4 linked regions of the Drosophila melanogaster genome follow. The protein of the gene in region 3 interacts with the protein of the main gene of each other region in a pairwise test. Each region holds a gene or a part of one and is shown on either strand. Other genes may lie near its edges.

Region 1 (5,329 bases), 6.2 Mb from region 3:
AGGTGAGGTTAAGGTATCCAAGTGCATCCTATATCTTATCTTGGGGCCTTTGCAACACTTCATGGCGAAGATTGCGATGAATGAAAATGTGAAAGCTACGTTCGGTGTGCGTGTGTGTGAGTGTATTTTCGGAAGAAAGATGTGTGAAGAGAGAGAAGCCGTGAGAAGACCATGCCAACTAAAATGCGAAATGCAAAAAATAATTAAGAAAAGAAAAGAAATGTGCCCGGTCTGTTTACAAACATTTAGCGTTTTCCATTAGATCTAGGCCTTCCGCAGTGCGCGCGTGTATCTGTAAATGTATCCGTATCTGTGCGATGGGGTTTTCGGTATGAGTAGGTTTACTATACATATAGTATACACTATATCTGAGCCACTATTATCGCTGCGCTTTCGCCCCACGGCGAGAGCAAACACGCGCGCGAAGAAAACAAACAGCGGCGAGGGCCAGAGAGCGGGTGACTCAAAACGAGGAAGGGGAGTAATCTAACCATTCTCGTACACAGAAAAAAAGTGTAAATAAACACATATCATACCCATATTTTCATTTATACACAGTTAACAATCAGTCCACTATTTCGTTATCTGCACGGCGAAAATCAATGGAGAAGTGTGTGAAATAATGTGCGAGTAAACAGAAGTGGCAAAAGCTACGTCATCGTTGAAGAGCGCCACCTCAATGTTGACTGTCCACCACAAATATTTACGTCACTCTAGATCACCCAACCGCTCACCACCCACCGCCCGCAGTGCCACTCGCCCAAGGTTGCAAGACGTCGGGGAAAATGCGTGCTGCGCTGTTTCGAAGCGATTTGCACAGCGATTAAGTTCCCACTTCCATGGTAATTCCAATAAAGCGCCATAGGCCACTGATAACGCCCGCAGGAGAATTGAAGCCCAGGCGGAGAGCCTGAGTATCTCAATCTCAATCTCAATCTGTAACTGAATCGGATTCCAAGTCTGAATCGGTACCAAAACAAAAGTAGCAATTCAAAACAAACGTAGCGAGCGGTTTCGTTTACGCAATCAGCTGCGAAAAACACGAGAATGCTCATGTGTACATAAGTGTGTCCAAGTGCCGCACAGCGCCACAGATTTCGTTTATTATTAATTTTTATTAATAACCAGCGGCCGCAGAAGGTTGCGAAAAGTGCCGAGAGAAAATCTGTGTGCGAAATATAGAGCTCTGGAGTCGAGTCATCAATAAAGTCCGGCAAATATGACAACTTGGCAGTATTTTTTCGCCCCAGCAACAATTAGTTTTTATAGGGAAGTTAGTAAGAGATACAGTTGTGAACAAGTCGGTGGCCTTTTTGACTCTATTTCGCTACTACCTAGTTAATAACACGTGTGCAAATCGTATTATGAATCACTAGACCTCTTTTATTCAAGGCATTTTCGTTTGGTTTGTAGATTACAGTCTTAGTATGTTGTAATTAAATTCGTAGTAGAATTAAGTTTAGGTTATAGTAGACAAAAATACAAACTAAGATAGGAATTATGCCTATCAACAAGTTTACATCTGATTAGGGAACTTAAGGTACTTGGGTACAGTATTAAAACTATGAATAAAATTTAGGAAGGTAGCAGGAAATTAATAAATATTGTTAAGACTTTAAATACCACCGGTAATTGTGTGAATACAAATAATACAACTATGCTCCATCATTTCAACCGCAACTGTAAATGGATAATTGGAGTCTCGCTGCTCTCTTCCTGTTCTTCGCACACATACACACGCATGGGCGCGAACGCTGCAAGTGTCCGTGTGAAGAAGGAGAAGGCGAAGAGGTGGGAATCCAAAAGCTAAGGATGCAGGACTTCATTAGGAAGTGGTTCGCATATCCCTTTCGTTATCTTCTTACTTTCGCCCCCAGCAATGAAACGCCATGAATTGGGGGAGACGGAATCTAACGATTGCGAACGCGTCGTATCTTGTTTTTTGCATGCATGACAATGTGTGCAGAATACGCGCGCGCTCACACACTAAACCACTCGCACAACCGAAGGCGTGTGTGCATGTATGCAATTTTTTGGGGTGGTATTGGCGGTGAAGGCAGGAGGGATGAAGGGAAAGAGACGGGCGGAGAACTCGAAAATTTAGCAAGTAAACACTCTCCGATTGCGATTACAAAGTCAGCTAATTTCCTTTCATTTTTTATTATAAATTTTTGATTCCGTTTTTTTGTTGATGCCCAACAGTTGATGTATTTTCATACGCGATACACACACAACGCGCTACAGACACTTGGACGCACACAGACACAACGTCTGGCAAGTACATCGCTTTTTGGGCCGTCTCTTTTGCGGTTCATTCAATAAAATTATTGCGAATGGCAGGCGCAAAACAGAATCGCAAAAATTGCAGTGTATTGTGGGAAAGAAGAAGAGGCGTGTGGTAAAGAAAAATGCCGTCTCTCCACCACACACATTACACATGCACGCAATTTTGATCGCTACACGCGCCACCCACACTCTGCAATGTTTTTGTTGTTGTTGCAAGCCGATTTTGTTTTGATTCGATACTTTATTTATGTATACATAATATTTAGGAGCAGCGCATTTCCGCGATATTCGCTGGCGATTTTGCATTTCATTGAAACGCACACAAAACGCAGGGAAAAGAAAAACAGACGACGGCTAACTCACCTCGAACACACGCACACCTACAAACCACACACAGCGGAGAGCGAGGAAATTCAACACGACGGTATGCGTTGTTGCATAAAGTGCGATAAAAGGGGAGACACTGAAAGAAGCAAATCAGCCGAGTTGTATTCAAAATCGGGATCCAATATGGGCTATTGCCGGGATATATAGTCCGATTCCCTGGCAAGGCCGCAAATCATCCACGGAGTACGTGAGAACACACCGTCGGTCACATTCACAGTAAAATTCAAACACACACACACTAGCACGCAGACAACACAGAAGCCGCAAGAGGGCAAAAGAGAGCGGGAGAGAGAGAGCAGCAAAGAGAGAGAAAGAGCGCGGGGGCAAAAACCAAAAAGTTATACACTCACGCTGCAATTCCTTGTTTCTGTTTCTGGCGTTTTTCGCTTTTAGTGCTTAGCACGCTGGCTGCATTCGATCAGTTTATATACAATTTTCTCTTGCGCATATTTATTGGGGGATCACGAGTTAGTTTTCGACCAATATATCTTCCCGGATAATTGTAATTTTCGCTATTTTCCGCGGACCGACGCTAGAGCGTTGGTCTGACCACGACGATAATATCTGCGTATCGATACTCGGCCAGAGAGTACAGCGATAGTTGCATATGACGAGAATGTGAGCTGTTATCGATATCGAACTCTAGCACCCCTGTGACGCCACCATTGTTATGGTACTCTATTAACATATACTTGGCAAAACTGGAGCACCTTGAATGAATATTTGTACAAATCAGAGCAGAAAAAAGCAAACAGCACGACAAACTGCGAGACAGATTCGCCGCTTCGACGCCATGTTGTCTTTCGCTCTTGATTCGCCCCAAAAGAGTGTGCAATAATGCACGAACTGGGTTTTGGTGTTACCGTTTTTCGCACTCCCTACTGTTACGATAATATTTTAAAACAAAAACACGTTAAATATTATAAAATTAGAAAATAGAGCTATAAGTACGTTTACTTAGTATTAAAAAGAGCAAACAGTTTGATTACTCAGTAATTACATCCTCGATTCGAAAGTTAGCATTGTAGTAAACACATAATTCCGATTAGAAATCTTTTCCAGCTTAATTTAACTTGAATGTAAAGTGTCATCTTAAACTAATCTCAGGTGCTAGTTTATAATGAATGTAATGACACGTTAGAGTGCTAAGATATTTATTATTCTGTTAATTTTATGATTTTCAGATATTAAAGAATTTCGAATTTTCTGCCGCCTTAGTGTGGCCAGGTGGCGGCGGATTCCAAATGCCTGCAGTTGTGCCCCGTCGTTTTGGTATTCCGAGTGAAAGACGCAGCGACCCGCTGCTGCGATGCATTTGCTCACTTGGCCAACTTCGGTGCTGCGTTCCCGATGCCTAGGACGACAAAATGCTGCGCCAGAACCTGTTGGATCAGCTTAAGCACTTCATAGAGACGGTGAGCAATGGGCACAGTTGTCCGCAGCTGCTGACCAGCCCCAATCTCATCAAGCTCGCGTGAGTAGCAACCGCGGTGGTTAATAATGATGCCCGTAGTAAATAATTCCATGGATATTTGCAGACTGGGATTCCTGGAGGAGCTGCCCGCCACGCGAGACATTGTGTTCGAATACTTCGCCCTGCTGGCCGAAATCAGTGTGCAGCTGTATGTGTCGCCGGAGATGGCCGACCCAAAGACCGGTATGCCGGTATCCCAGGTGAAGCTGGCCGGGAATCGCCAGCAGCAGCAACGTGCTCCGGAATACGAGGCTTTCAATCTGGTAAAGACCGCGCTGCAGAGTCTGGTGTGGAAGGGACCGCCCGCCTGGTCGCCGCTCATCGCCAACTGGAGTCTGGAACTAGTGGCCAAGCTGTCCGATAAGTACACCCAGCGGCGGATGACCATCACGGCCAGCTGCAACTATTGGCTGGAGTGCAGCGCCATGCACGGGCTGATGACCCTTATAAATAGTTGTTTCCGAAAGTTAACCCAACCGGAGGAGGAGGCCTGCGTGGAGATCATGCTCAATGCCTTTCACCGGTTTCCCATGACCTTCGACTGGATTGTGGCGAGATTGGGCGGCTGTTTCCCTTACAAGATCATCATGCAGATTCTACAGTGCGGCATCAAGCGATTCGTCGATGACTACCGCTGCCACCTGGATTCGGAGGCGGGCATCCTCGATTATATGACCTCGTGCCACGAACAGCACCTTAGGGCAGCCTTTCGTGAGATGCTTAGGGAGGGATTCGCACCGAAGAAGCCGCTGGACGTGGCCGTTGTTCCTTTCCTGCTGATCACCACCAACTACTCGGACACGATCCTGCAGAGCTTGGTCAATGTGCTAGTCGAAATCTGTAAGTACTGGTTGAATAAAGAGATATATTATTTCTCTAACACAATGTCATGTAGATACCGAGGACATGTGCGAGGTGATAGTGCAGAAGGCGCCGTTGTGGCTGAGCAACAAAATGTTTGCCGGTATGCAGCCCACGCTGAATAATGCCGTGCTGCGCCTGAACGAGCGTGGAGCGACGTTGCTCCTTACGGCAGCCAAAATGGCCGAGAAGTATGTTTGGTGTCAGGATTTCCTGGACAATTCGATGCAGGAGCTGGAACAGTGGGTGCTCAACCAGCGGAACTTCCCGTTGCTGGCCGATCTGGCCTATGAGGAAACCAAGTACATGCTGTGGAAGAGC
Region 2 (5,727 bases), 8.6 Mb from region 3:
GCGCAAAATGCAGCGAGCCATCCGAAAAAACCCCCCCTCCGTATGTAAAAGCATCTCTGTTTAAGTTTTTTTCCTTTGGCCAAAGTTCGCGCGCGCAAAAAGCACACACACACACACATGACACATGGGCATGGGGTATCTATGTACTTTGACCACTCGATGTGCGAATGAAGCGCGGTCCAAAAAGGGGGCGGTGGAATGGGTGATGTAGGCGGTCGGACCAGGTTGCCCATCAAGAAATAGAAAAAAATTGGCTCCAACTCTACGCAATGTCTACGCGCCCACACTTCGATCCATCCAGCCAGCCCATCACAGCCCAACCCCCATCAGTGCCGCCGACCCTTTTTCGAGCCGACCAACCACGCACGGCGTTGCTGGCAAGGAAATGCAGCTGCACCACCGCCTCCTGCTCCCTTTTTTCCCGGCCCCAGATCATTACGAGATGCCTCATCATCGCCATCGCCATCATCATCAGCATCAGCATCCTGGCAACGCACAAATCACGCAGGCAGCTGGGTGGCTGGGTGGCTGGGCGGCTGGGCGGCTGAAGGGCAGTTGCTTGCTGCACGTGCTGGGGCTCCAGGAACAGCTGCTGCTACTGCTGTGGATACTGCAACCCCCTCCCACGGCTGGCCATGTAAATTTCCGAGGCCTGGTCAAGTAAATAAAATGCAGCCAAGGGGGCTGGGGTGGGATGTGCGCCGGCGAGGGGGCAAAGGACTTCTAAAAATAAGCCGAAAAGAGACAACACAACCAAAAAAGAAGCAACCGCCTCAGTCTAGCTGCTTGCGGATGCGTTTGTGTGCGTAAGTGTGTGTGTGAGAGTCCTGGAGTGCAATTGCCTTGCAGCATTGCATCCTTTCGGCTGCACTCGCCACTCTCGTTGCGCAGCCCTCGCTCTCTCTTTCTCACCCACTCTCGCTCGCTCTCTCTCCCTCACTCTGTCTTTCTCTCTGGCTCTTTGGAGTTTTCCTTTTTTCCCATCTAAACTGTGGCAAGTTGGCGTCGACAGCGATGCCGACGCCGACTTCGCTGCCATCTGCTATTTACTAGTGCAGCCGTTGGTAAATGAAGCAGCCACCCAGCAACACCCCATCGCCAATACCACACCCCCCCCCCCCCCAAAAGCGACCAAAATCCTGCCCAGCCACCCACTGCCCCTTTGGCTGCTGCTATCTTCTAGTTGGCAATTGCATTGCCTGCAATGCACTTCTCCTGTTGTGGAAGCGGGGAAAGCCAGCGCGGTGCATTGCGCATGTCCTTGTTTACATTATGTGCATGCCTCCAAAACTTCGCGTCTTGCACTCGTGTTTGTTGCTGTGTGCGTTTGTGTGCCTGTATGTGTGTGAGGATGTAGAAAAGCAAAAAGTCTACAACTACAACTAAACCTGCTGCTGCTGGGGAGAGCCGCGTGCACACCAGCAACACGATGCTGTTGCATGTTGCTGCTGCAGCTGAACGCCGTCACCCGACGACAGGACACGAAGAACTTTGGGAGGAAGTGCCGAGCTCAATCGCGGAGAAAGACTTCTGCGATCTTCAGACCCACTGAACTAAGGAACTCCAAAGGAGACATTTCCTCTTAAATATTTACTTGTAGCAATTAATATGGTTATTATTTTGGCGCTTTGAAATAAACATGCTGTTTAGCTAAGTTACTAAAATTTGACTGCCCTGCTTTCTTTCGTTGGTGAAATAGATTTTGTGCCTTAAAAAGAGTATATCTTTGAATTGATTTTAACTTAGATGATAACATTATAATTAAAGAATGAACCTTTTCCTAATTTTTCTAATGAAAATCAATACTGCTCAATGTTTCACACTCATATTATCCATTTACTATTTGTCTTAAATGTCGTTCTCTTCTCGTTCTCTTCCAAAAATGATCAGTAGTTAAATGCTCACTGTTAATCATTTTCTTATGATCAAGCATCCCATAATAGATACTTTTCTTAATCAGAACATCTTTAAATTACCTAGATCTTAAAATATACGCTTCGAATGTATTTATTTCCCTTATTTCTCTATCTAAATTCTATAATTCTGAAAAGATAAATAAACCCCAATGAGTCAATGATTGATGAAAAGAATGGAGTAATGGTTGAAAAATGAATTTTTGATAGTGATCTTTACTTACCCTCAAATAAAAGTACATCGAAAAAATATCACATCACAACAATTTTTGATATTCCGTTTGCATTTAATGTTCTCTCTAAACTTTGATTAATTTTCTCACTAAGTTCCGTTTTTTTATGCTTCTTTTTTAATTTTTTTTTTTTTTGTAAATTTATTTTTATTTTTTTGATAAATTATTATAAGAAAATTTTGCACTTGTAAAATTTAGCGTGTAATTTTTGTTGCATTCATAGACTTTTTGGTTGTTTAAAAATTTTCAGGTAATTTCGTAGTTTTCGATTTCGAGTGTTGACTTCTGCTCTTCTTCGCCTTTTTTTTTTTTTGTTCTCTGGGGATCCTTTCCAAAATATTTGCTTGCCGAAATGCACAATACAAAAGGTGAATTAACTAAGGATCTACGTCTGAATTTGTAGAAACTGAGAGTGTGTCGGGACGATGACGAACCTTTGGCCGAGACTTGAAGACGGAACGGGCCAGACGATATCGAAATCAAATTCAGACGCTTGAATTTTTGCTCAAATCGGAATCGGTGCGGTACTGAAACTGGAGTTACTCAATCGTTTTACTTTATTATTTTGGTTTTTCGTTGGTTTCTGCTGCTGACGTTACGGACTGACTGGTATTGCCTGCTTATTTGGTTGCTTCTTGGCTTTGACTTGCTTTGTTGTGGCTAGTTGTAGTTGTTGTTTACGAACGAAATGTTGCGTTTGACTGGCGCTGATTATCAAGTGATTAATATTATCGATATTGGTAAAAATGTAACTTTGTCTATTTTGTTATTTGTTGTTGGCTGGCTGGTTTTGTTAGTTAGTTTTGGGAAATGAAGAAAAAACTGCTCTACATTCTAGTGCCGGCGCTTACATTGTCTTTGGCGCAAGCCGGCCGTGTGTGTTTTTGGGTTTTTGGCGGGTAATTTTTTGCACTCAAGACGGCATGGCGAGCGATGGCTGTTCGAGCCCCAGCCCGAGTCTTAGTTCGAAGGGCTGGCGGGCCAACGGGGCGTATGAGCGCCTGGGCCGCATTGCGTATACGTAGTGTGTTCCAGGCTGGGTGGTGTAGGTGGTACGTACATAGGTGTCTAGTCTTGCACTTCAAGTCATTTTGCACACACTTTCACTTTCACATTCACTTGGCACTTTTTTTCGTTCTCCTATCGTTTCTCTGCTTCGATGTCTCTCTTTTCTATTTCTATTTGTTTGTTTGTTTTTCTTTTGTTTTTCGGTATTTTTCTGTTGTAGAGTTTTTTCTTGGGGTGGCTAACTGCTTCTGCTACTGCCTCTGGGTTTGATTTATGCAGATGCGAAGAAGTCTGCGAGAAGTGGCGACCTGCCTGCCGACTGCCTGCCTGCCTGCCTTGCACTGCCTACTGATGTGCCTTGCCTGCTGTCTGCTGCCTGCTGCTGCCTGATCCTGGCAGCACGGCTCAGTTCGATTCAGGACAGGCCAGGACAGGGAGACAGCGAGAACCCGAGGAGCAGAAAAAAGCGCCGCAACTTGTTTCGCGTTTAGCAGTTTTCTGTTGCAATGTCCTGGCAAAAATTGCTAACGATGACGGGCCCCAGAGTCACAGAGCCAAAGCCAAAGCCAGAGCCGCTGTCGATGTCGATGGCGTCGTCGCTGCAGCGCGTTGATTATGAGGGACGCCAGCCCCTCGGCCGCTGATGCTAACGCTGATGGAGTAGGATGATGCGGATGTGGATACTTGGATACGTGGATACGGATGAAAGTGGCCGCTGGCCGGGCGCGAAACGCGCAAAAAAATTCCGCGGCTACGTCGCAGCTGCAGCGCCAACCGAATTGTCCTCGTCCTTTTTGGTTTGGCTTTGGCGCAAAAAATTGCTGCGACTGCGACGTCAGCGCCGCTCCTAGCTGCTAGTGTACATATACATGCAAACCTCGCACACAACCACAAACACACACACACACCCACTAGAACAGTGGGCGCACATATGCATTGCTGGACAAATCCAAAAACACAGAGAGAAACAGACAGCAACGCGCGCTCAGTCGCGAAAAATCAAAACAAAGCGCGACGACAGCGGCAGCGGCGTCCTCGCCAATACATGCACACTGCGAGAAGGACACGGACAATGCACATATCGCACACACACACGCTGGCATGCTGCCCCACACTCTTCACACTTTCAATCAAGAGCAAAACGCATTTTGCTGCGCCTAAAAATCAAACAACGCCAAAAAGTATGGAACACCCAAACCCCCAAACGACTGATGAGGTGGTTTTTGGACTGGGCAACTGCGTGGTGGTCTGTTTCGCTGACTGGGTGGCGAAAAACTGCAGCTATCGAGCCTAAGTGTACCTAAAACCCAGCCCCTTTTCCCGCCAGATGGACCATACCATTTCGCAGATACAGATACATCTGCAGGGAGGTAGTGTGGCAGCTGTGGGAGCTGTTGCTCCTGGCTGTGCACTGTTCATGTGCCCCATCCGTCCATGCATCCATACATCCCATCCGCACACCCACCAGCCGACAGGACCCGCCATGTGGCCATGTTTTGTTTTGATTTCGTGCTTCTCACACACATCCATATGCGGGGAAAATGCAATTTTTTCGTTTTCATTTGCAATGCCAAAGCAACAAAATGAAAATCGCAAAAAAAGAAGAGGGAAACCTGAAAGCAAAAAATAAAGCAAAACCCTAAGCGAAACGTAAAAGTTTTCTATGTTGCCCCTGCGCGAATGCAACACACATTTTTTTCCTATTTTATTTTGCCGCCATTTATGGGTGTTGGTTATTGGCACTGGTATTGGTATATCGTCAGAGTTGGCATTAAAATATCCAGCAAAGAAAACTGCAGCTGAAAAAAATGTAGAGCGTCGTCCGCACTCATACCCCGCCAAAAAGGATCCGCGACAACAAGAGCAACAATAATAGAGCCAGCATAAATTCCTACTAACTCATGCACATGGGGGTTCTGGGAAAGCGCATCAAAAAAGCGGAGAAAAATTGGTGGGCGAGTGCAGCGACAGCCACTGCAATTCTCTATGTACGTGCTCAGAGATATATGTGTCCATATATATGTACATATATATATGTATATATATATTATATATATGTATATCAGTGATATATAGACGAGGAGGCACAGATCGGAACTAGGCAGCGCCTGCATTTAATCCTACGCATCGCGCTCGTTACTCATACGCCGCGTATTCCCGGAAATGGATAGAACGCGGGCACAGGTCTGGGATGGCGCAGTTTAGGCCGGATAGGAACAGCAGCACCCACAATCTCCACCCAGTACATGAAGTTTATGGCTTTATCGATGGCATTGGCTATTGACTTTGCCACTGTGCCCGTTCTGCTTTTGCTTCGGGCTCGATATGGTTTTGGTTTGGTTTGCTATGGTTCGGTATGGTTTGGTTGGCCTTCGCAGGATATCAGAGAGAAATTGGGAATGCTGCTCATAAAGAGATTGCCAGATAGCTTATGGATTCATAAGTTGTTATGCACAAATACAAAGGTGGTGGCGTGCAGTAGGCCCACTGCCACCAGCTGCGGTTTCCAACTCCCTGCCCAACGAGCCATCAGTCCTGTCCATCCTGTCATCATTAATTAATGAGCTCGCGGA
Region 3 (6,086 bases):
TACCAGTGGTTGGTGGTGCATGGGCATTTCCCTTCGTTTTCGGCCCCTTCTTAAAAGACGGTTGAGTTAAGCCACCCTTGAGGAGGAAGCGCAGGCGCAGCTGTTCCGATTCGCTCGAGGAACTAAGGAACTGCGCAACTCTGGAACCGTTCCCATCGAGTAACCATCGGGGATAAGGCGGTGCCAAGGGACACGTGTGCGTAATCAGCGTCGCAAGAATCCATCGGATTGCATGGCAGCCCACACCCCTTCCTTCTCATTCTTCAACGAGGAGTTTCAGCATGAGAAAATTCCACCACATCGAAATCAAAAACGAGTTGCACGGGGTTGGTATGAAAAACGTAAACAATTTCCTGATTCTTTAGGTACAGGCTTTTTTAAATGCATATACAAGATATAACGTATTTTAAGAACGAAGTTCAAGGTGATGATACTGTACACTTCTACATTTTAGATCAGAATACCTTTTATTTCTTTTTTTTTTTTACAGATAATTTGACCTTATATGAATAAATTGGCTAATAAATGGAAAAAATAATTGATGCATTCTCATTATTTTCGTTACATTCAAAGATGAGTCTATTTAATTTAAATAGCTTTAAAGAAGGTCTCACTTTCCAAGACACCTTTTTCAGATTTTTTATTTGATTTCTCATGCCTTAAAATGCATTGCATCAAAATGATATTTTTTATGAGATTAGGTAAGTCCCATATTTCCAGAACACAAACGCGAAAGATAGAAAACAATCAGATTTGGAATTTAGTCGGAGAGTGCTCGAAAGAGATTTCAGAAACACCTCTGGCTGTGTTGTGTGCAACGTGTATTGATTATATTTCGAATCGGATCTTAGCTAAGGTATATAATTTATAATAGTACGATAGAGTAGTTGTTACAAAGGAATAGCCTAGATGTTGCGCGCCTTGAGCACCTGCTTCTGTGGCGGACTGGGCACGTTCTCCTTGCCGGCGAACAGGACAGTCTTCTTGGGAGTGCTGGCCGCCGATCGTGGTGTTCGTGGGGTGTGGGGGGTGCGCGGACTGCGCGGGGTGTGCGGCGCCTTGGGTGTGCGGGGGGCGGGACGGGGCGAGGACTTGCCGGCGGACAGGAGCTCGTTGATCTCGCTGGTGGTATCCTGGCGCACGCACTTGTCCGAGGAGTTGAGCAGCCACGTGGTGATCTTCTCGCAGTCGGATCGCAGCTCCGAGTCGCACAGCAGATCCTCGATCTTCTCCAGATCGGTGGTATTGGAGCGGTTGGCCTTGCCAGGTGTTCCCAGCAGAGAGGCGGATCCCGGTTGCTTGGACTTGAGGGCAATGTTCTCCAGCTTGAGCTGTTCGCACTCCTCGCGCACCTTAACAAGCATCTGCTCCTTGTTGTCCAGCTCCAATTGGGCGAACTGCAGCACGGTGGCGAATTCATCGAGCGCCTTCTTCATGTCCACCATGTAGGCCTCGCGCGTCTCGTCCTTGCGGCGCAGCTCGTGGTAGTGGGCCAACTGGGCGTCGCCATCGATGCGCTCCTGGAACGAGTTTGCAATCTGATTGAATTTAGCCAACGTCTCCGCCTCGCCGGCTAGCAGCTCGTGGAGCAAGGACTCCTTCAACGATACCTCGCTCTGCAGCGTCTGGGAGGAGGATCTCAGTGCGTTGAGCGCATCCTGGCTCTCGGTCAATTGCTGGCGCAGTTGCTCTGCGTCCGCCTGCAACACCAGATAGCTCTGCTCCAGCGCTCCCTTGGCCAACTGCACCGATTCCAGCTCCGCTCGGTACTGCTCCACATCCGCATCGGACTTCTTTAGACGCTCCATCAGAATGTTGACGGTGGCCCGGGTGTTGGTCAAAGTCAGCTGGTAGTTGTACTTCTCGGTGATCGTCTTGGCCATGTCCTGCTTCAGCTGCACCAGCTGCTGCTGCAGTGCGTCGCTCAGCTGGATGTAGTAGTCGATGCCGTTGCGCAACTGCTCTTCGCATTTCTGCAGCTTCTCGTCGCGCATGCGCAGCATATCATTGGTGGTCTCCAGCAGCACCATCACGTCCTGCTTCTCCAGCTCGATCTTGATCAGCTCGTTCTCGGCCAGCTTCTGGCGCTTGTCCAGCTCGGCGCGCCAGTAGCTCTTCTCGCGCTCCACCGCGCTCTCTAGGTCGCTCTCAACCTGCTGCTGCACCTTGGCCACCGCCTGCTGCTGCTCGGTGTGGCGAGCCTGTTCCCGGCACAGCTGGCGAATGGTATCGCAGTGAGCATCGATCTCGCAGTTCTTGTCGAGAAGCTCGTCTTGCAGCGAGCGGATCAGAGTGCACTTGTTGGCCAAGTCATTCTTCAGGGTGTTGCGCTCCACCTTCAGACACTCCAGTTCCGCCTGGCAGCTCTTGGCCTCCTGTCCGTAGGACAGGGCATCCTGTTCGATCTGCTGCTTCAGCTGGACCACGTCGGCCAGCAGGGAGGCATTGGTCTTCTGGAGATTCTCTACCAGCTCAATGTTCTCGGCGGTCTTTGCCTGCTCCAGGCTGCAGTGCTCGCGGGCCTGAGCCACATCCGCCTGAAGAGCAGAGAGTTGTGCCTGCAGCTGCTCCTCCACCTTTTGACGATCCTCATTCGCTGTCTGCAGCAGCTCGTTGGCCAGACGCAGTGCCTCGCTCTCGGCAACCAACGCCTCCACTTGCCTTTCATGCTCGTCGTGCTGTTGCTGCAACTGCTGCTCCATGGCGGCCAAACGCTCCAAAAGATCAGCGTGCTCCTGGCCCATCTGCTCGTTCAGAGCTTTGTGCGATAAATTCTCACTGGTCAGGGCTTCGATGAGCCGATCTGTCTTGGAGGTAGCCAACTCATGCTCCTCGCGCAACTTGGCCTCGGCTTCCTTCAACTGATCCACATGGCGGCGCAGCACGTCCAGTTGGCTCAACTGGCTCTCGATCAGTTCGTTTTTGTGACGGATTTCGTACTGGAGTGCCTCCTTGCCCTTCAGACGGCTGGCTGACTTGGCCTCCTTTACGGGCGTGGTGGCTGCCGAATGCAGAGGAGTGGATGCCGCTGTTGAGGCGCCACTTCCGCTTCCGGTGGCCGTATCCGTGTGACTGGGAGTCGGACGGAAGCGTAGGCGCTGCGGCAACGAAGGAGTACGGAACAGACGTAATCCCTTTGACTTTTTGTCCTCCTTGGGAATGGCAAATTCCTTGGCCTCCTTCGAGCTGGACGCGAAACGCACGGCGTCCTTGAAGAACTTCTCGATCTGCTCCTTGCGTTCCGGTTGAACGGTTGGCGGAGCAGCGGCTGCCGAAGACGCGGTGGGCGTGGCACTGCCCGCCGATCCCGCCGAGCTGTTGGACGCAGCTGGCGAACCGCAGATGGCCACATCCACGTCGTTGAAACGCTTCAACTTGGCCTTGGAGAAAGACATTTTCGAATTTGTTTTTTGGACTTTCGGTTTAACTTGGTAACGATTCTTTTCGGATTTTGTATCAATGTCTCATTAACAACGCTCGTTTAACTTTCGATATAACAATAACTCAACGATCAAACATAAACACAACTTTAACTTTCGGTTTAATTTGGTTATCTTTTCCTTAGGATTTTTAGGTAAACTGTTTAACAATATGGTAGTAGTCTGTAGTCGTATTTAATTCATCTGTACTTTGTGGTCCGTTCTGTGCTACACTAAACCCGCTATCCCGTTGCTACCCGTTTCACTGTACCTACGCGTTCCGCTGTCAAAACCTAACTGAGCTCACCTTCTGTCCAAGATCCCTGAGGCAGACATAGCCTCCAGCTGGCACAGCGAGTGGAAAAGGGATGGATAGAGTGTGGAAACGAGATAGACCCAGGGGAGGCAAAGAAAACAACCCTCGCTCGAGCAGGGGTCGCTTCAACGATCCTGCATTGCTTCACCTATGTGGGATATACCCAACATTTCAGGTTGGGTATTTCCGAGATCTTCAAACGAAAAATGGTTTATGGTTTTCATTTCGTAGGACTTTCATTTTAATCTAATAACATTAACATTGAATATAATAATTAGTGGACATAGAAAATAATATCACGACAATTTTGGATTTTTTAGATATTAGCTGAACAAAAATTTCATATTCCTTAAACATTCTAATGTTAATTTAATATTAGACAAGTCATTTGCAGACGGCATAATTCTTCTGATCTTAACCACTTTTCAATTTAAATTAAACATATAATATTATATATTTTCTATAATGTCCTCTTTTAAGAGTATCTAGAATTCAGGTAAGCCGAGTTATACGACTCCTAATTTTTTTTTTATTTGGTGGTAGTTCGTGCCACAGTTCTTGATCCCCTGTTCGTCTTATCTGTGTGTTTGTCAAGACGTCGGCCTCGTGTATATAAAGGAAATGTTTTCATTTTAGCGCGCGCAAATGTTGCAATTGTAGTTCAAGACAGCACGAGGAGGGTTCGAGACCGGAGTGGGGGTAGCAAGATGGGTAGGGGTGGAGATAGGACGACGGGGTTCCGCATTCCCCGGCTTAAGTACATATGGGAAATGTGCCGTTGCCGACGAACAGAGACACACTCACTCACATCTGCCTGGGCTTCTCCTTTCCTTCGAGGACTACAAGTAAATGCGATTGCTTTCGAGAATTGCGAGACTACGAGTACAAGGATATGAGCTGATGGCTGGATGGACTGCCTCATCCGTTAGCTCCAACACAGCTGGCAGCCAGCATAATTCGTTAATTTGATACGAAATCCGATGCCCGCATAATTAAAGGAAAATGCGTCGGAAATGGGCGAGTTGCGCCTGCGCAATGAGTTGAATGGAATTGAGGCTAAATGAATTGCATGGAAAATGGAAATGCGTCGGGAAAATTGATTTTTCATGTGATATCGCTAGGCAGTTGGGCAATCGGCCATCTATAATCTGTATAGAGAACCCCCTCATGATATCCTGCTGATCCTGCGGTAGCTGCCTGTGCATCCTGTCATTTTTTCACTTCTTTTCTCCAGTGAGTTTGTCACAACTGCCAACTGAAATCAGCTGGTTGTTCCTTTGATGGCAAACAATGACCGGAAGATTCTAGCAACTGGGAGGTGATAATTCTAGGTTAAAGCAGACAAGCATGAAATTCTGGGTGGGTCAGCCACACACAGCTGTGCAAAAGAATTATAATGTAGAAAGACAATGTAGGGAGCCATAGGACAAGGGAAATCGTTTGGAAATCAATAGAATATTAATACTCAAGCATTACTTTTTAATTTATATTTATGCTTCACAACCTTTGTCAATTTATATAGTTCATGTACATAATATGTATGTATATAAGGTTACGAAACCATCCTTTGGTTTCATAGAGGTAATATTTTCCCATAAACATATTTGCATTTGATTTTCCCAAACTCTCTTATAATAAAAATGGAAATTTTACGAAAAAGGGTTTTCATTATTCGCTGATCCAATGATGTGCAGGACTCACAGTAATATTAATGATGTTAATGACATTTACCCTACGCCGCGACACCTTCAACATCATTTTCCCATGCCTGTCCATGCATAACTACCATTCATTGAACGCGCTATAAGGTAACGCGATCTAATGATGTTTCCATGGGATCCATTCTCACTTCTCCTGAGCCAGAGCCAATGTCATCACAACACAAAGTGAGTGCAACAAAAGACTGGCTTGGCCCCTGAAGATCAAAGGGGTTTCGCACCCTCATGGGATACAAAACGTTACTAAAGAACGAGGACGTGGATCTGAGTCATCGACCTTTGAGCAACGTCCCGATGAAGCTACGAAGAAAAGGGATCCAGGAAACCGGACCCATGACATTGGATCTGGTTTTTGCAGACCAGATAAACTAGCTCCTACTGTAACTAACAAGGGGCACATTGAAAGCAACATAACTAAAGCCATGTTCTATCGGCATATAAGCCAATTAAGCAGGGTGTTATAAATATCAATACATAGGTCGCGAGCAGGAAGAGATCGTGATGGCAGAGCGTGGTACTCACCGCTGAAAGAGCAAAGTCTTGGCAAAGGCATACAGCTCAATGTCCAGACTGTTTAGCTTCTCGATGCGACGCTTCTGGTCGGGTCGAAGATTCTGGACAGCAGTCGCCGAG
Region 4 (5,532 bases), on a different chromosome or scaffold from region 3:
GCTTCCATCCCAAATCGAATCTGACTTTGCCCACGATGAGTGCAGCGGAAATCGTCGTTGTTATCGACGAGTAAGTGGAGGATTTATGGTTTATATCAGAAGATACTCAAAATAATAAACCCACTTTTTATCTAACTGCCTATCTAGGTGGATCAGCCAGTTCAACGAGCTTAGCGCCAAGTACGCGTGGGTGCAGATATTCGAGAACAAGGGAGCCGCCATGGGGTGTTCCAATCCCCATCCGCACTGCCAGATCTGGTCATGCTCGTTTCTGCCGACGGAACCGCAACTGAAGCAGGAGCGTCTGCGTGCCTACTACGCCACCAACGAGCGGCCCATGCTGGCCGACTATGTGGAGCGTGAGCTGCAGCGCCAGGAGCGGATTGTCATTGAGAATCGCGACTGGTTGGTGGTGGTGCCCTTCTGGGCCACTTGGCCCTTCGAAACCATGCTCATCTCACGCAACAACAATAAGCGGATCAATGATCTTACCGCAGAACAGCGATACAACTTGGCGCTGACCATAAAGGAGCTGACCACCAAGTATGACAATCTGTTCCAGTGTTCATTCCCCTACTCGATGGGTTGGCATGGAGCACCGACTGGGCCGGAGCATGCCCACGCATCCAGTGCTCATTGGACCCTGCACGCCATCTACTATCCGCCGCTGCTTCGTTCTGCCTCCGTGCGCAAGTTCATGGTGGGATTTGAGCTGCTGGCCATGGCCCAGCGGGATCTGACTCCCGAACAGGCAGCCCAAAGGTTGCGGGAGGTCGATGGAAAGTGTCATTATCTAGAGAAGTGATTTCGCTCGAGGGTATTTGTAGAATCCCAGATGGTTTAGAATTCAATAAAAGGAAATAGTCTAATACGACTGTAGTAATTACTTCATACTTATTCGCAATCAGTTGTAAAATGTTCTAGATTAGTGATTTGACTGTGGCGAGGGTCCAGCCAATGATCAGCATGATTGCCAAAGACCTCTGGAGGTCATGCAATGCAATCATTGATTTATCAGATAAGCTCAGGAATAATGCGACTTTGTGTTACCTAATGCAAAAGTGGGGAAAATGTTCTTAATCGATTAAGCGATTTTTTCTAAGCAGAAAAGGCGGGAAATATGATTTTTCATAAAAGAGCTTTTCTGAGCAGACCAAAAAGACAATTTGGCCTACAAAGGAAGGGGTATCAGATGGTCGAGGTACTCAAATGAATCGACGCCATGTGTAACTGTAACAATTACCGCACTGTCACAATCACTTTTTCCTTTTCAAATCATAAGTTTTCCATTAAGCTAACCAAGTCTATTTTATATAGAATATATGGCAAAATTGAGTAGAATAGTATAAGTTTAACTAGCTTACTTGGAACTCCGTTTGCGGCTGGGGCGGTTGGCTCTGGATGATGGACTCGTCACTGATTAGGTTCGGCTTATTTTTGTTTTTGAAGAAGGCAGGCATGCACTCATTGTTGTTGTTGTTGTTCATGTTTAAGTTAGCTGTGGTGGAGCGGGTCCGGAATCTTGTGCCGTCCGAGGTGCGCCAAATATTCATGCGGCGAAGCCTTCCCTCCAACTCAATGTCGTCGCAGGTGGCGATGCGAGGCATCACAAAGCTCTCCTTGGACCTGTGCATCAGGGCATTGAACATCCCGTTGCGAATGTCCATCAGGCGGGAGCGGGTATAGCTCTTGACCGGCTTGCTGCTGACCACCGGAGCAGTAGTAGGACGAACAGCCTTGGGTGCTCGCAGACTTCCTGGCTTGTGAATGCCTGTGCTGGGTGGACGCTTTTGCTGCACCTGACTAGACTGCTGCTCCGGCACGGCCTCCTTGCTGGCCACTTGCTTCCGCGGCGAATCGTGCTCCAGGTCACAACTAACGGCCGTGCAGGACAACATGCTGGAGGGCTGTGTGTACGGTGTGGATGCTCGGGCCGAGAGAACTTGCAGGGTCAGACCCTCGTCCTCGTGCAGATGCTTCGAGGGTCCATGCATCGGAATGGCCTCCCCCGAAATGGATTCGAGGATTTGATTCTGTTTGGCCAGTAAATTGATGATCTTACAACGCCTCTCCATCTCCACAATAACGGCGGGCTTTTTGGTCTGCAGCATAACAGCCGTGGATGTGGATGCCAACATGGATCCATCGCCGATCGTTTCTGGGTTTGAGCGCCTGGGTAACATCTCCAGGGCCACCACATTCTTGTTTTTGATGGAACGAGAAGACTGTTTGCCAAAATAAAAACAACATTGAAAAAACTTCATGATATATGAGAGTGCCTGTCTGTACTCGATGTAAAATAAGTGTCGAATATATGAATGCCAAGTCAAAGTTTCTTTAACTAAATTTTTAACGACATTTGTATCAGAGCTGCTCTGATTCCTAATACCATTTACGTGTTTAATACTGTGCTTTGTTGGCCAATAAATATTGCGAAGATTTTAGACTAATATCAAGTTTGACTCAAGAAAAGTTAAATTTAAAATGTATTTCAATATAAATATATAATCTGACAACAGTGTGCACTGCTAATAATAAAATTAAAAATGTTATATGTAATGAACTCACCTCAGGGCTGGCCTTTAGCGTCCGCTTGTTGGCCTCCAACTTGGTGATGGCCTTCTCCAGTGCGTCCTTCAGCTTGAAGGCGGGCAGCTTGAGGTAGCCCAGTCCGGTGGCCAGGAAAGCGCTAGTCGGCAGCGGAGGAGGCGGGGGCGGAGCGCACGGATCCTCCCACTTCTCGGAGTTGGCCTCGTCGTCGTCATGCTCTTGACTGGCATTCAGAGCGGTGGCCTTGGTGGCTAGCGGAGCCTGGACTGGAGTTGGTGGCGGTGGAGGGGGCGGGTACTCGAACTTGCCCTTCTCAGCGGGGGTCAGCACCTCATCCTGCTGATCTTCGACTGGCAGCGGAAGCTGCTGATGCGCTGGACGATCGGTTGCACCCGCATTGGTGGCAATTTTCAGGGCGCCAGCGCCATTTTCTTGCTCAGCTTCGGCCATTTGCATAGCATGGCCATTCAATTCGATCGCCTCCTCTTTCATAGGGTCCATACTCACTAATTGTTGGTTTTTTTTTTGGTTAAAACTTAAAACGAGTACTTTTGATCGGGTCAAATATATTGAAATGTATGAGAAATTGAACGAAATCACGTTTAGCACAGGTTCGTTCGATCTTAGGATCCGTTATTCGGCGCTGCTACGATGAGTAAGCAGGACAGGAATAGGAAAAAATACCGAAAGCGAATGGTGGAAGATGGAGGATGGATTGACCAGTGTTGACAAACACTGATCTGCGACTTATACAGCTTTCAAATAGTTAATTCTTTGATTCCTAAACAAAACAGCGAATTTATTAATAATGCGCTACGACATTTACTTTTGACAACAGAAAGTAGCTAAGCCTGGAACGTGATAACTTTGGAAACTAGTACTTGTGATTCTTAAGATTTCGATTACATAAAAGCCGTTATTCTGTTACAAATTTAAAAAATTAAGTGCAAACGATTTTAACGTACTGTATCTTATTATTTGACAACTATACATATGAATATAGCGGAGCACACAAACCCAAAATTTAAATGAATTTGAGCCAGCACTTTGGCAGAAGGGTGATCGCCGTGCGACACCCGTGGCACCAACTGGGTGCAATTCGTCACTCGTTCATGGAATCCGGGAGGGAGCTGCTGGATTCGGGGCACCGCTCGGGCACGATGGCAGATGGTAACCGCGGGTAAACCTCCACATTATCGTCCACTTATCCAACTCCCAATACCAAGCACAGTGGCGAAGAAAATCCGTGAGCACGTCGGCGTGGAAGGAGGCTACCACATCATTCCCAAGAGCCGGGATGGACTGCTCAAGTTTCAGCCGAAGCAAGACGAACTGCCCAATCGCTCCATGCTGGACTCACAAACGACTGCCCAGGTGCTCCTGGAAACAGATGCTCTGTTGAGGCAACGATTCGTTTACGGGCGAGGCTTGCTTCGCATGGGCAGGATAATTGAGGAACTTGACCTTCTTGCAGGTAAGTAAGTAAAGTATACTAACTAACTACTCCAAATACCTGATTAATGAGAGTGGCCTTGCAGTGTGGATCTGCCATCTTCACATCCATCTGCCCAATCTGCCGGAGGGTGTGCCGCTGCCATACACTTTTATCACCATGCTGGTGGACCACGCCCACTTCTTGCAAGACAAGTTTATTGCGGATGCAGATGTGTCCCTCTCCGGTCACGTTTCATATACGGACAATAACTTCATGGAGGTCACGGCATATGTGCGACAAAGCGGAATGTTGCTGGCAAAGGGCATTTTTGTGGTAGAGGCTCGCGATGCCATCAATAATGGCCCTGCTCCTGTCAATCCTCTGGTGCCGGCCAATGAGCTGGAAGAAAGTTTACACCAGGAAGCGCAGAAGCGGCACCAGGAGCGTGCCAAAGCGTTGTATCGCCTGGAGTCGCAGCAGCCCACCAAGGAGGAACAGCAGCTCATGTACGAGCTATTTACCCGAACCAAGGGCGATGACGGACCTTCGCCGAGTGATATGACTACTCTACCACCGAATTCCCGCTGGATGTCCACGTGGCGCCGCAGAACCCTGATGCATCCGTTCCCGGAGAACCGAAACGAATCGAACACCATTTTCGGAGGGTTCATCATCCGCAAGGCTATCGAGATTAGCTACATGACAGCCTCCCTCTACTCCAACCAGCGTTGCATGATCCGCTTCATTGCGGACGTTACGTTCGCCCATTCCATTCCCGTCCATAGCTATATAAAACTGAAGGCGTACGTGGTTTTCACCCACGAAAACTACATTCAGCTGCTGACGGTGGTGAATGCAATCGATGGCAATAGCTTTACGGAGCTTAAGTGCAATGTGCTGCACCTGACCTACTCCTGCAGCAAAGCAGTTCCGGAGATCCTTCCCAGAAGCTATCACGAGGCGCTGTGGTACCTAACTGGTCGTCGCTACTTCAATCGATTCCGTGAATCAGTAAGTCACGACATGGACAATGGATCTGCCGTAGAAACCAATGGAGCGAAAAAAGACAATTAGAGATTGGATTTAATAAAACATATGCTGTCGATTTGCATTATAGATATTTTCATTTGATGAATTAATTGAATATACACATTTTTTCAGCGAAACGCCGTTTATTTAAACATATATGTAAACATATTGTGAACACAAAACCAAATATGACTACAATAATTTATCCTTTGCATGTTATTCGTACACATTGTTTGTTAATTAATTCGGTTGACAGGAAAAAATGGATTAAGAATACATTTTAAAAACCACTAATTATAAAACTGCACATACACATACCACCATGTATGACTGGAATTCTTATGAACAAAAAAACATTGATTATTGCCCTAACAACCGAATCCCCGTGGAGCTAACTCTTTGGTTGGGCAACTGAGCCAGCAGCTGCGGGTTCGCTGCTACCTCAACTGTTCGAGCGGGCCGCCTCCCGCTTGCCCTGAATCCAGCTCTCAATTTCCTGCTTCAGAGCCTCGTTGGAC

What was found.
Region 1: the proteins of mira (region 3) and flfl interact in a two-hybrid assay, tested with the Drosophila melanogaster proteins (one study listed by BioGRID).
Region 2: the proteins of mira (region 3) and pros interact in a two-hybrid assay, tested with the Drosophila melanogaster proteins (2 studies listed by BioGRID).
Region 4: the proteins of mira (region 3) and cup interact in a two-hybrid assay, tested with the Drosophila melanogaster proteins (one study listed by BioGRID).

What each region holds. Positions count from the first base shown.
Region 1 is NT_033777.3:13,681,845-13,687,173, reverse strand, and holds the start of flfl (falafel), read right to left. Parts: upstream 3,254-5,329; 5' UTR 3,024-3,253; intron 2,750-3,023; 5' UTR 2,650-2,749; intron 3-2,649; exon of another isoform or gene 1-2. Other genes in the region: omd (oocyte maintenance defects), read left to right, coding at 4,041-4,147, 4,212-4,987, 5,043-5,329. UniProt on the Drosophila melanogaster protein: Regulatory subunit of serine/threonine-protein phosphatase 4. The probable PP4 complex Pp4-19C-PPP4R2r-flfl (PPP4C-PPP4R2-PPP4R3) is required to prevent caspase induced cell death (in vitro). May be involved in DNA damage repair.
Region 2 is NT_033777.3:11,326,367-11,332,093, reverse strand, and holds the start of pros (prospero), read right to left. Parts: upstream 3,615-5,727; 5' UTR 2,138-3,614; intron 1-2,137. UniProt on the Drosophila melanogaster protein: Homeodomain protein that controls neuronal identity. As a transcriptional factor, regulates the expression of ftz, eve and en in a subset of neuroblast progeny and modulates the transcriptional activity of other homeodomain proteins such as Dfd.
Region 3 is NT_033777.3:19,931,279-19,937,364, forward strand, and holds mira (miranda), read right to left. Parts: upstream 3,721-6,086; 5' UTR 3,396-3,720; coding exon 906-3,395; 3' UTR 756-905; downstream 1-755. Other genes in the region: Hs6st (heparan sulfate 6-O-sulfotransferase), read right to left, coding at 5,976-6,086.
Region 4 is NT_033779.5:6,661,624-6,667,155, reverse strand, and holds the start of cup (cup), read right to left. Parts: upstream 3,493-5,532; 5' UTR 3,007-3,492; coding exon 2,569-3,006; intron 2,226-2,568; coding exon 1,365-2,225; intron 893-1,364; exon of another isoform or gene 806-892; coding exon of another isoform or gene 148-805; intron 71-147; coding exon of another isoform or gene 1-70. Other genes in the region: Galt (Galactose-1-phosphate uridylyltransferase), read left to right, coding at 1-70, 148-805; CG13771 (uncharacterized protein), read left to right, coding at 3,579-3,720, 3,782-4,024, 4,089-5,059; Ube4A (ubiquitination factor E4A), read right to left, coding at 5,457-5,532. UniProt on the Drosophila melanogaster protein: Adapter protein that plays a central role in localization of transcripts in the oocyte and in young embryos. Maintains RNA targets in a repressed state by promoting their deadenylation and protects deadenylated mRNAs from further degradation.